Neurospora crassa OR74A: one gene and its partners. The protein of the gene in region 1 purifies or fractionates together with the protein of each later gene. This does not show direct contact. Links are inferred from orthologs where the notes say so. Each region holds a gene or a part of one and is shown in the gene's direction. Other genes may lie near its edges.

Region 1 (5,525 bases):
CCACGGCAAAGACGAAGCTGAGGCCCCTGTTGAAGAGAAGGCTGGTTTGTTGAATGCGCAGGAGCCCGAGGCTGAGGTTGAGGCGCCCCCGGCTTATGAGGATGCCAAGGTTGCTGAGGAGGGGGAGGTCAAGAAGTGAAGATTGACTCGACTCGAGTGTTCGGCATGCCGTTCCGAAACAACAGGATGAGAGGAAGTCAGGAAGGAAATCAGGAAGGAAGTCAGGAAGGGAGAAAGGATGATACCATACGTGAGATACCATACGATTTGTGGCAGCGGAAGGCTGAGATGGATGGTCAAGCTACACCAGATTGTCACGCACATTAAGCAAATAACTGACTAGGTACGCTCCTTGGGCAAATACCATTTCAACTTGTTTTACACAGAAACTGTTAGCAGACATATATGTCTGACCACTGCTAGCTCGCTTGGGTTGATGGGTGATACTATTGTCATGATGTTATTGTGCTGCTAGTAAGGTAAGATCATCATCTTTCGCTGAGCCTGTCTCTCTACCCTTGCCAGGGCGGCGGAAAAAAACAACAACAAAAAGTGCTAATGCGGTTGCCCGTAATCCAATTCTCTGCCTTGTCCACTCCTCGTTCTTCCCAATGATGAAACTGAAACCCCATATTCTGTTCGTCGCGCAATGCCAAATCCGTTGGTCTGTTGGTTAAGTAGTTACCTAATTACACGCCAACTTCTTCTCCAGTCGACGAAGCCATGCGAGTTTCTGTCTGTCCCCTTCCTTACACCATCCCCTGCCCCCTCTCAGTTCTAGCCCTTCTCCACCTTCTCGCCCACGCCGCAAGACCCTGGAGGGGAACTTTGATCATGACTTCGTATGCATCCTTCCAACCAAGTTCTTCTGGCTCTTCTTCCTCTTCTGGCTGTTTGTCGGTAGAGGTGGTGGTTATGAACTGTTGCTTTTGGCAGAGGTAGTTGAGCCTGTCGATGTCGAGCCCGGTTTCGAGCTCGGGGAGAAGGTTGAAGTTGATTGTGGCTGTGCGTGTTGGATTGAGGAGGTTGGGGGTGTTGTTGTTGTTGTTGTTGTTGTTGTTGATATTGTTGGAGGGGGTTGAGGAGTTGTTGGTGAGGAAGTTGGTTGCGTTGGCAGTAGATGATGGAGACACTGGCGGCAGTGTAGTAGTAGTTCTGGCTGTGGTAGGTTGAGCCGTAGCGGGAAGTGGAAGGCCGATGGCGTGTTGCCCTTGATGATCGGGTGCGGAGGAGGCGTAGCTCGACAGGGTGCTGAGGCTGCCAGCCCCTGGAGAAGACATCTTGGGCGTTTCTTGAGTCGAGCAGCTCTGTACTTATGGATGTGGTATATAGTACCGAGTATTTGATAGTGTTGTTGATGTCAAGTAAAACGAAGGAGGGCAGGCTACTAGAGGTTGGGCGGATCGATGTTGGGTTAGGTTTGTGATTACCTAGGTAGCGAGCGGGAAGCAGAAGATGGAAAGTGCACTTTCTTTCGAGCCTGAAGTGGTTTCCTTAGTTTTCAAGTGGTTTGAGAAAGCAGTAAGAAGTCTTGCTTTGATACACACGAGCGGGTTACCTCTTAGGTATGAAGCCCCAAAACGGGGCCTGCTCTATGCCCGTGAAGAAGCACCTGGAAGTATTTATTATTATTTCTTTTTTTTTTTATCTTCCGGACCTGGCCTGCCTTACCTTGTTTTGAAGCTGCATTCAGGTGCTTCACTGCGAAATCAGGAGGGGTGGCTAATCATCAGCACAGCCCCAGAAGCAAGGCTTCCACTTTACATTCAAATCAGCAAACGAATCTGAAGACTAGAGTTGTACACCACCGACAGTCCCAAGTAACACACAGCCTGGTGAATCTCACATCTATGGACCATCAAGGTGTTTGTCGTCCGTCTTCAAAATGACCCCCACGGTCCCTTAGCAACCATCCATCACTTACACGACCCCTGGTGCCAAGCATTGGTGGGGCGGCGCTCAGGAACTGCACCCAGCGGCCCCGGCCATTCGGATGGAAACGCCCCACACCCACACCCACCACCACCAGCGGCAGCGGGGCATCGCCCAGAATTGGACTTTGATCGGAGCAAAACAGCAGCTCCACCGAGAACTTTCCTGTGTCCGGCAAATGACGAAGTTTGTCCGCATCTTTCCCCAGCTCCATTTTCGTCACATGCCGCTGTTTATGGTTGCTCGTTGTTGTTGTTGTCGTTGTTAGCAGCAGCCTCCGATTCGTTCTCTCAGTCACCACCACATAACTACCTACAGTACCTATCTACCTCTTCGGCCGATCGATCAACCGACCGACGAAACGAACGAACGGACAATGGCGGCCAGCGGGAGCATATTCCAGTGCCTCCTGCGCACGTCGCAACAGAGCTTGGGAAAGAGGATAATCCTCCAAAGACAAACAGCAGCAGCCCACGCAGCAGCTGCGACGCGATTCACGACAGCTAGACTCGGCAGAAACCCTGCCTCTAGTCCCCGCCGCCAATTCACCACCTCGTCCACACGCCGACAGACTCAACAACCCGGCGATGATCCCAACTTTACTTCCATCCTCGATAACCCTCCCGAGCTTGTGCGGACCGGCAGGAGACATGGCAAGGGGTTGATTATCCTGGGTATGTCCTGATTGAGTCCCAACCATCTACAATCTCAGCATGCGCTATGCAGCCGTAACACTGACTAACGCATTTACCTCCTCCTCCTCCTCCTCCTCCCCACAGCCATCATCCCCATCACTGCCCTCTTTCTCGGAACCTGGCAAGTCTACCGACTAAAATGGAAGACGGACCTGATCGCCAAATGCGAGGACCGCATCATCCGGGACCCTCTCCCCCTTCCCCCCCGCGTGGACCCGGCCGCCATCGCCGACTTCGACTACCGCCGCGTCTACGCCGAGGGCGTCTACCGACACGACCAAGAGATGCTGATCGGCCCGCGCATGCGCGACGGCGAACAAGGGTACATGGTTGTTACGCCCCTGGAGAGGGGAGATGATCCGAGCTCCAAGGTGTTGGTCAACAGAGGGTGGGTGAGTAAGAAGTTTGCGGACCAGAGGAGCAGGCCGGATTCCGTCAAGCAGGGCGAAAAGGTCCGTGTGGAGGGCATGCTGAGAGAGCCGTGGAAGAAGAATATGTTCACGCCGGACAACAGGCCGGATATTGGCGAGTTTTATTTCCCGGATGTGAAGCAGATGGCCGAGTTGACGGGCAGTCAGCCGGTGTGGATTGAGCAGACTATTGGTGGGTATCTCTGTTTTCTTCTCTGCCAGTTTTGGACGTGGCTGGCCTGGCCTGCGTCCTATAATGGTATGATGGCTATTCTAGCTAGGTATGGTACTAACGTATGTTTGTGCGCAGTTCCCGATATTATCACCGTCTATGACTACGAGGCGCGTGGTATCCCTATCGGTAGAGTCGCCGAGGTCAACCTTCGCAACAACCATGCGCAGTACATCTTTACTTGGTATGTTCTTAAGCGATGCTTCACCTCCTTCCAATTCTTGACGTACCCCTGCGGTATCGCATATCAGTGCCCGACTAACTGGTACTTAGGTACGGTCTCGCTGCTGCCACCTCCATCATGTTCTGGCTCGTGGTCAAGAAGCCTGCGAACCAGATTACCAAGCGCGTTCGCATGAACAAGAGCTGGTAAACATGAGTTTGTGAGTGGGCAGTGATAGCTTTGCTTTGTCACACATCAATGGTAACAAACACTCTCACGTCACCTCTTCGTCTTCGCCGCCAACCCCAGCACGGCTAGAAGAGGCAGCCTTTCGGCGCTTCTTGACCGGAACAGGCGGCGTCATCCTCAGTTCCTGGAGGAGCTCTCTGGGAAGGTATCGTTGCGCCAAGGCAAACGGCGTGGTTTGTGCGTTGGTTTGACGTTGTCTATGGAAACAAAAATGTAAGTCAGTCCGTCGTGTACAATAGCTCGAAAAAAGTGTACAAAGAACACTACACAGGATATAAACAATCGGATACCCAGGGATCAAAGCAAAAGCGCCAAAACATACCTCTTCATCAATGTAAGCATATCACTCATATCGATAGTTTTGCGATGGGCGTGCTTTGCGTACGCCGACAAGTCATCTCCCAACTGCTCAAAGAACCAGTCCGAAGCCTGCATGATTGCCTTGAGCGCCTCAGGCGAGATGTTTCCCTTCGCGCCGCTCGTCTTGGCGAATGTTTGCGCCAGCCGCTTGATCATGGCCGGAGGTAATGATGTGTACTCGATGCCGTGTTTGGAGATCTTTTTGGTGGCTTTGATCTTGGAGAAGCCCCCTCGTTCACCACCCTCTTCCCGAAACAATCCGAGTTTCTCCCGCGCCGCCGAAGCTGAAAGTGATACCCTCGCCGCCGTTGGTGTGTAGCCTGATAATCTCGTCATCTCCTCATCCGAGCCTGCCTGGCCCTGGTCGTCTTGGTTGTTATCCAGATCCATGGCCATACCGTCGTCGTTATCATAATCGTCGTATGCTGGTCCAACATCATTTCCGTCATCGTCATTGTTGTCGTAACTGTCGCTCCTCTGGTCCATCAACTCCGCGAAACCTCCACCTTGGCCGCTTGTTGCCGCCGCTTCAGCAGCTTGACCCATCTCAAACTGCCTCGTAGGCGAAGCAATCATAAACGTGCTCTCGTCCATCCCCACCGGCACCTCAATGTGGAAATCACTATCCCTCCCTCCAGCTCCCAGCAGCAGCCCCATCCCTCCTTCCCCACCTATCGTCTCCCGTCTCCTCGTCTCGTCCGAGTCCAGCCTGCTAAACTCATCCGGTATCCTATCCTCGGCATTTCCAAAGTCGTCCTCATCAATTGCAGCAGGCGGAAAGAACCCCGAATCGATCCCATCACTCTGTTGTTGTTGTTGCTGTAGCTGCGGGAAATCACTCAACCGCCCCATCGAATCCCTCATCCTTTGTTGATCCTTCTCCGGATCCACCCGTCTCGGCAACTCGATACTCTGCACCGTAAAGTTCTCCGTCAGATCTTCGAGTCCTGCACTCCGATGTGGTTGCGGCAGTTCATCATCATCTTCCCAATCATCGCCCTCCCCATCCCCCACCCCTAAGCCCAAGCTGAGTCTCGGCCTCTTAGGCAACTCCTCCTCCTCGTCGTCCTCATCTCCATACCTACTCCGCGTGGATATGTCAAAGGTCAACTCCTCCGACGTGTCCCCCTCCTCTTGCTCTTGTCTTCCCCCAGCAGCAGCAGCAGCAGCAGATCCAGAAAGCGCCGAAGCAGGACTCGAACTACTACTCGGGATCCTCTCACTCTTGGGCGCCAAGACTTTGCCTAACTGCAGCAGGAAATTACGCGGGGTCTCGCGGGCTTCGCGCAACGAGCGCCGGCGCGCGTGGTGAGGCGTGAGGATGGCGGCGCGTCGGGAGTCGATGGCGCGGTAGGCGGCGCGGACGTGCGGGGTTGCGTTGGGGTTGGGAGTGTTGTGTGCGGAAAGGAGGAGGCCGCGGGGGGTGCGGGCGCCGGGGGTGTATGCGCGGGCGTTGGGGCCGGGGGTGTAGGCTCGTGGGAGAG
Region 2 (3,315 bases), on another chromosome or scaffold:
GGGGAGTAATTATCTGTATTTAGGGCTTAAATAATATGGGGGTAGTACATAATAATAATATTTAAGCACTAAAACATATATTTGTTTTTGTTTTTAAAAATATATGATAAAAAGACGCCTCGCGGCTCGATTTATTATTTGTATGTAAAATAAATTTAGGTTTAGTTTAGTTTGGAGGCGAGCTTCGCTAGCCCCTAAAATATACAAACTAAATCTTCTCTTGTAGGCTACAAAGGAATATAAGATACTAAGTAGTATCTTAACTGATGTTGTAGAAAAGGCGGAGTGATTCTGAGGCAAGCTTCGCCCGCCTTAACAAAATATGTATTATGAAGAAATAAACCGGTAAAGAAATATTTCTTTTTTTTTTTATATACACTACCTACATATTTTGGAGGCGAGCTTCGCTTAATTTTTTTAGCCGTCCCCCCGCCCTGCAGTACTGCAGGGGGGGAAGCTAAAAAATAATTGCCTCCCAAAATATTTTTAATATTTTGGTTAAATAATAAGATAAGTCTTCATTTTCTCGCGTAGCGGAGGCTCTCCTAACAAACCCCCCGCAAGCTTGCGGGGGTTTAGAAGTGGGAGCAAAATGAATTATAATAATAACTTGTGCGCTCCTCCAAAGGCGCTCATCCACTCTTCACAATCCCCCTTCCCCCCCCTGCAGTACTGCAGGGCGGGGGGACGGGGGGATATGTGGATAAGGGTAGCGAGAAAAGTTAATTTACTACATGAGGCTAATGGAATATTGGATAGCTGACTTAATATAGCAAGGCACTTCGTTGGTTCTAATACTGATTTAGCCGTGATTCCGCCTTTTTTTTTTTTTTTTTTTTTTTTAAAAAAAAAAAAAAAAAGAAAGTCCACAAAACATTGAAAGGCTAGTGTGTTTTTTAGTAAGTCAGTCAATCACCTACGTAGGTGATCCAGAATTACGTTACCGGGGATATTCTGTTGGTCGGTTTACAGAATATCCTGGTTAGCATTGATTGTATAATCAATAAGATGTTGTAATCTTATTTTATTTTTATTTATAAGATACGTAACCATTATAATAAAAACCATTATATTATTTAATCAATTAAATAGTGAGGAGTTTGGGCTCTCTTTAAATTCAAGTAAAAGAAGTGTCGGGTTAATGTCGTCAATTTCGATTTGAACTGAAAGATGATTTTTATCAACGAATGCTAAAGATATAGGAGTTCTTTATCTAATCTTTGCGCTATTTTCTGGGTTACTTGGAACAGCATTTTCTGTTTTAATAAGAATGGAGTTAAGCGGACCTGGGGTGCAGTACATTGCAGATAATCAATTATACAATGCTATAATAACTGCACATGCGATCTTAATGATTTTCTTTATGGTTATGCCAGCATTAATAGGTGGATTTGGTAATTTCTTGTTACCATTATTAGTAGGGGGTCCTGACATGGCATTCCCAAGACTTAATAATATTAGTTTCTGACTGTTACCACCAAGTTTACTATTATTAGTATTCTCTGCATGTATAGAAGGTGGAGCAGGTACAGGATGAACAATTTATCCTCCTTTATCAGGTGTACAAAGTCATAGTGGACCTAGTGTAGATTTGGCTATCTTTGCCCTACATTTATCAGGAGTTAGTTCCTTATTAGGGTCTATTAATTTCATAACTACAATAGTAAATATGAGAACACCAGGAATTAGATTGCACAAATTAGCTTTATTTGGATGAGCTGTAGTTATTACAGCTGTATTATTATTACTATCTCTCCCCGTGTTGGCCGGTGCAATTACTATGCTATTAACAGATAGAAATTTTAATACATCATTCTTTGAAACAGCTGGTGGTGGTGATCCTATTTTATTCCAACATCTTTTCTGATTCTTCGGGCATCCTGAGGTTTACATTTTAATTATACCTGGTTTTGGTATAATAAGTACAACAATATCAGCTTATTCTAATAAATCAGTATTCGGTTATATTGGTATGGTCTACGCCATGATGTCTATTGGAATATTAGGATTTATTGTTTGAAGTCATCATATGTATACAGTTGGTTTAGACGTGGATACAAGAGCGTATTTCACAGCAGCTACATTAATTATTGCAGTTCCTACAGGAATTAAAATATTCTCATGATTAGCTACATGTTATGGAGGTTCTATTAGATTAACTCCTTCTATGTTATTTGCTTTAGGTTTTGTATTTATGTTCACAATTGGGGGATTAAGTGGAGTTGTTTTAGCGAATGCATCTTTAGATATAGCATTCCACGATACTTATTACGTAGTTGCTCATTTTCACTATGTATTAAGTATGGGTGCTGTATTTGCAATGTTTAGCGGATGATATCACTGAGTACCTAAAATATTAGGTTTAAATTATAATATGGTGTTATCTAAAGCTCAATTCTGACTTTTATTCATAGGGGTTAATTTAACATTCTTCCCTCAACATTTCTTAGGTTTACAAGGTATGCCAAGAAGAATAAGTGATTACCCTGACGCATTTTCAGGTTGAAATTTAATAAGTAGTTTTGGGTCAATCGTAAGTGTAGTAGCTTCTTGATTATTCTTATATATTGTGTATATACAACTAGTTCAAGGAGAATACGCAGGTAGATATCCATGATCAATCCCACAATTCTATACTGATAGTTTACGTGCTCTTTTAAATAGAAGTTATCCTAGTTTAGAATGATCTATAAGTAGCCCACCTAAACCTCATTCATTCGTGAGTCTTCCATTACAATCTTCATCATTTTTTTTATCATTTTTTAGATTATCATCATATGGGGAACAAAAAGAAATCAGTGGGAGGCAAAATTAATTTTCTTGAACTTTTAACTTTCATCCAATTTTTAACTCATAAACTAACTTTAACACCACCAAAACCTCACCTTTTTGTGACCTCAAATTTACAAGCATCTATTTGGAACTGACCTTCTAAATCTCGTATTACTGAAATATCTAAAGCCATCTGAATGAATATGATTAAGAAGTTTAAAATATTTATTTTTTTTGCTCTACCTACTATGTTAATAGTTAAAGGTATATATATTTGTTATGATCAGGAGATATGAACTCTGGTATTTTTTACTCAAAATTTGGTAAAAAATTTCCCTTTTTTTGGCTTAAGATTATTTAATATGATTTGAGTAGAGTCCAATTTAGGAGTAGAAGCGTCCAATTTAGGAGTAGAAGCTCCTAAAGCTTCTTCAATATTTTTAGATCTTCATCTTTGAACCTTGATGTACCTATTTGGTAGTTTAGCTAGAATTTTTGGAGAACTATATTATAGTGATTTTGAATTACCTGCGGGTGTAGGTG
Region 3 (3,987 bases), on another chromosome or scaffold:
AATCTGCGCGTAACTTGGGTTCGGGAGGAGAACACGAGGCTGAGGGTCTCCATATCATTCCGCTCACCTTTGTTGGTGTTGCCAGTTAGTACCACTCATTCAAAACGATGGGGACGGGACCCTAACATGATGTCAGTTTTTGCCAAGGGCAGCTTGATGATCTACTGCCTCTTCTACCGGAGGTTCCCAACAGTGCACGTCTTCTTTGTTGACCATCGAAACGACATTGTGGTGAACATCTTTGGGTTGGTGATGGCGATCGTAGGTGACAAGTTTGTGTGGTACCTTGATCCAATTGGCGCCATCCTGATAGCCCTTTTGATTCTCTTCTCGTGGGCTTCAAATGCCTTTGAGCAAGTCTGGCTTCTGGTTGGCAAGTCAGCGCCCAAGGAGTTTATTGCGAAGCTCATCTATATGACCATGACACATGACGACAGGATTGTCAAGGTCGACACGGTGAGTCGATCCCGAGTGCTTCCCGGTAACGGCGTTCGAGGCTAAAAGTTGGTCAGTGTCGGGCATACCATGCTGGTCAGCATTATTATGTTGAGCTGGACATTGTGATGGACGAAAACACACCCCTGAGAATCTCTCATGATGTCGGTCAGACGCTCCAACGAAAGCTTGAAGGGTTAGCGCTGGTTGAGCGAGCATTTGTACATGTCGACTATGAGCACGCGCACAACGTCCACGAGGAGCACAAGCCATTATATGAGAAGCCGACACCCAAGAGGAGTCTCAAGGACATGCTCTTGTTCAGGAAGCCCGCCATGACACAAGGTGAGGCGAATGCGTCAATCGGGCAGTGACACTGAGGGACAACAAGGTTGAGAATAGGGTACGGTGAATGATAATAGATTTCAAAGTTTTGGATACTCGTGTATGGCTTCCAGTTGTAGCGTGGTTTTCTGATTGAGGTGATGAGAAAACAGGGAAAAGCCGATGCTGCCAGTCGCGGTCGCACAAGATGGAGTTGGTAATGCCCTGTTGAGGAAGAAAACTACTCATATCGATGTGGATGGGCGTAGTGATACCTCTATACCCAACCACTTGACACTTGAAAATGTAAACTCAACTAGGAAGTCGGCAAGTGCAGAGATTTCGTGCCAGTGAGATGTTGAAGTTGAAGGAGGAAAGTGCGAGTTGTCGTTGCACACTGCAGTTGAATGCTGCCCATTGCTGCCGCCAAGGTTACGCGATAATTACCTTTCACGGTAAGCTACCATGTAAATACGTGAAAAGGAAGCCTGGGCCAAGTGGTGCAATCCAATCGCAAACGTGGGCTGATTTTTGCTTCGTGATCGATTGGCCCGCGCATCCGGCAGGCAGCGCAGTGGAGTCTGTTCATCCCGTCCACCAGCCGCGGTACCTGATTACAAAGTTCACTCCACCGGGACTTCGGGAGATCGACTTTGACTTTTGACGACGACGACCTCATTTTTTTTTTTGGGTGGTTTGCCATTGTCGGCTCAACTTGGTCGTCATGGCCTTCTTTCAGCTTGGGTTACGCCGGGCAGCTGTCCAGCTGTCCAGGCCATCCGTCTTTTGCGCCAGAGCTGCTTTCAATGCCTCTCAGCAACAAAAGCTTGTCCAGCTTGCGACTCCTGCTTCCACCATCTTGAAGTTGGTGAGCCAGGCTCGTCACACCCAGTCCCGCAACTATGCTACCCAGAAAGTCCAAGAATCCCCTCTCAGCAAGCTCGCTACCGATATTGCTAAGCCCGCTCCGTCCTCTGATAAGTCCGAGAAGAAGTCCAGCTTCCCGGAAACCAGCTCGAAATCTGTCGCCTACTGGCTCCTTGCCAGCGCTGCTTCTGTCTTTGGTATCGTCATCTTTGGTGGTCTGACCCGCTTGACCGAGTCTGGGTACGTGGCCCGAGTACTTGATATGCCTCGATGTCTCTTTCAGCCTGTCACAAATTACTAACGTTCCACAGCCTGAGTATCACGGAATGGAGACCCGTCACGGGTTCCCTCTGGCCTGGCTCCCAGGAGGAGTGGGAGTCCGAGTTTGAAAAGTACCGCGCCTCCCCCGAGTTCAAGATGCTCAACTCGACCATGAACCTCCAAGAGTTCAAGCAGATCTACTTCATGGAGTGGACCCATCGTCTCTGGGGCCGCTTCATCGGCATGTCCTTCGTCCTCCCCACCATCTACTTCATTGCTCGCCGCCGCGTCACCCCTCGCATGGCTTGCACTCTTGTTGGCATCTCGGCTCTCATCGGCTTCCAGGGCTTCATTGGTTGGTGGATGGTCAAGTCCGGTCTCAAGGATGACCTCTTTGCTCCCGGCTCCCACCCCCGTGTCAGCCAGTACCGTCTCGCCGCCCATCTTGCTACCGCCTTCGTCTGCTACTCCTGGATGCTCCTTGCCGGTCTCAGCATTCTCCGCACTCACAAGGCCATCAACTTCCCCGAGCAGGCTGTCAAGAACTTTACTGCTCTCCAGTCGCCTGCCCTTAGGGTCCTTCGCGGTTCCGTCGCTGCCCTCACTGTTCTGATCTTCACTACTGTTCTTTCCGGCGCTCTCGTTGCTGGCCTCGACGCTGGTCTCATTTACAATGAGTTCCCGATGATGGGCAACGGCCTCGCTCCCCCCAAGTCCGAGCTTCTGGACAAGTTCTACTCTCGCCACGAGGATGGCTCTGACTTGGTCTGGCGCAACATGCTCGAGAACCCCTCGCTCGTCCAGCTTGACCACCGTATCCTGGCCATGACCACCTTCACTGCTGTCTGCGCCCTGGTTGCCTACAGTCGCTCTGGCAGGGTCAAGGCCGCCCTCCCCCCCGCTGCTCGCAAGGGAATCACCGGTCTTCTCCACCTTGTCTCTTTGCAGGTTGCTCTCGGTATCAGCACCCTCATCTACATGGTTCCCATTCCCCTGGCTGCTGCCCACCAGGCCGGCGCTCTTGCCTTGTTGACCGGAGTTCTCGTTGCTGGCCAGCGCCTTCGCATCCCCAAGGCCACCTTAGCTATGGCCCAAAGACGACTGGCCCAGTTGGCGCAGCAGGCCAAGACTCAAGGTCCCAAATAGTCAGCACAAGCACAAATGCTATATCGTGTAACATATCTGTAACATTATCTCAAATTTTTGGCGGTTAGATATACCCGAGGAGTTTAGGATACACGTGCACCTCCTCACACAATGGCTGAAGTGGCCACTCTTATGCCACTCTTCTCCTGGCGACAATTCCTTCATGTGAAACAGGCTCTCATCAGACATGGCGTTGCACAACCTGAACCAGCATCTACCAGCTTCGGATCCCGGCAGTCGATAATCTTTGTGTGTACCACGTTCAATTCCCGAACCTTGAAAGGCCCTATCACTACTGTCGTATGTCACTTTAGGACAGGGGTGTCTCGAATCTTTGACTTACGTTGGGAGCAGGATACCAATCCGATGCAGTGGCACCAGCTACCAAGTGGTGGGCAGAACCCTGCAGAATGCCCCAATGGTAAGACAACGGAGGTCTCGCCGGTTCGACTCAGTGAGTCCTTAGAGGCGAGCTTACACAAATGCCCGGCATTCGTCCTCAGATGATGAAAACAAAGATTGAGTGTTGTATTGTGTTGTTACCCCTGAACGTGGGAGAGAGGGGGACGAACCAACCGTCCACACGATCCAACGTTCTCTTCACAGTGCCAGTGCGACAAGACCGACATGTCGTCACATTATACTGTGCATATCGATAAGAAAACCCAAACTAGAGAGAAGTCCGAAAGTCCTGGACTCCTGGCGCCAATGACAATGGCATTCAATGTCCCAACTTCCACAAACACACCAGGATTATACCAAGTTTCGGTGATGTGCCGCAACGGAAACTCCCGAATGAACCTTGATTTCGCCATCGGATTTCCCCTTCGGGCCACTTACAGCTCGAGTCCAGATATAACTGACGATAATCATCGCACAATTCGAATGCCCGACGCCCAAACACACAGCCATGCACGATATCACATTGTCAAAATGTAAGCCGGGATTTGGATG

The links. Proteins that work in one complex are often made in the same cells at the same time.
Region 2: the proteins of NCU02162 (region 1) and NCU16016 purify together in Saccharomyces cerevisiae (affinity purification with mass spectrometry; 3 studies listed by BioGRID, with this or other methods). This does not show direct contact. The link is inferred for Neurospora crassa OR74A from reciprocal best matches to the Saccharomyces cerevisiae genes SHY1 and COX1.
Region 3: the proteins of NCU02162 (region 1) and NCU04817 purify together in Saccharomyces cerevisiae (affinity purification with western blotting; 3 studies listed by BioGRID, with this or other methods). This does not show direct contact. The link is inferred for Neurospora crassa OR74A from reciprocal best matches to the Saccharomyces cerevisiae genes SHY1 and COX15.

Annotation. Positions count from the first base shown.
Region 1 is NC_026501.1:1,040,368-1,045,892, forward strand, and holds the start of NCU02162 (SURF-family protein), read left to right. Parts: upstream 1-1,879; 5' UTR 1,880-2,308; coding exon 2,309-2,606; intron 2,607-2,711; coding exon 2,712-3,230; exon of another isoform or gene 3,231-3,347; coding exon 3,348-3,453; exon of another isoform or gene 3,454-3,542; coding exon 3,543-3,642; 3' UTR 3,643-3,706; coding exon of another isoform or gene 3,707-3,878; 3' UTR 3,879-4,003; coding exon of another isoform or gene 4,004-5,525. Other genes in the region: NCU02164 (hypothetical protein), read left to right, coding at 1-139; NCU02163 (hypothetical protein), read right to left, coding at 750-1,280; CEN-T, read right to left, coding at 3,707-3,878, 4,004-5,525. UniProt on the Saccharomyces cerevisiae protein: Required for efficient assembly of cytochrome c oxidase in the mitochondrial inner membrane. Involved in a step that couples MSS51-COX14-dependent regulation of COX1 translation to early steps of cytochrome c oxidase assembly.
Region 2 is NC_026614.1:38,127-41,441, forward strand, and holds NCU16016 (cytochrome c oxidase subunit 1), read left to right. Parts: upstream 1-1,141; coding exon 1,142-2,815; downstream 2,816-3,315. Other genes in the region: NCU16017 (hypothetical protein), read left to right, coding at 2,778-3,315. UniProt on the Saccharomyces cerevisiae protein: Component of the cytochrome c oxidase, the last enzyme in the mitochondrial electron transport chain which drives oxidative phosphorylation.
Region 3 is NC_026506.1:927,826-931,812, reverse strand, and holds NCU04817 (electron transfer protein 1), read left to right. Parts: upstream 1-1,375; 5' UTR 1,376-1,483; coding exon 1,484-1,866; intron 1,867-1,937; coding exon 1,938-3,033; 3' UTR 3,034-3,333; intron 3,334-3,387; 3' UTR 3,388-3,487; downstream 3,488-3,987. Other genes in the region: NCU04818 (cation diffusion facilitator 1), read left to right, coding at 1-84, 137-456, 513-809. UniProt on the Saccharomyces cerevisiae protein: Catalyzes the second reaction in the biosynthesis of heme A, a prosthetic group of mitochondrial cytochrome c oxidase (CcO).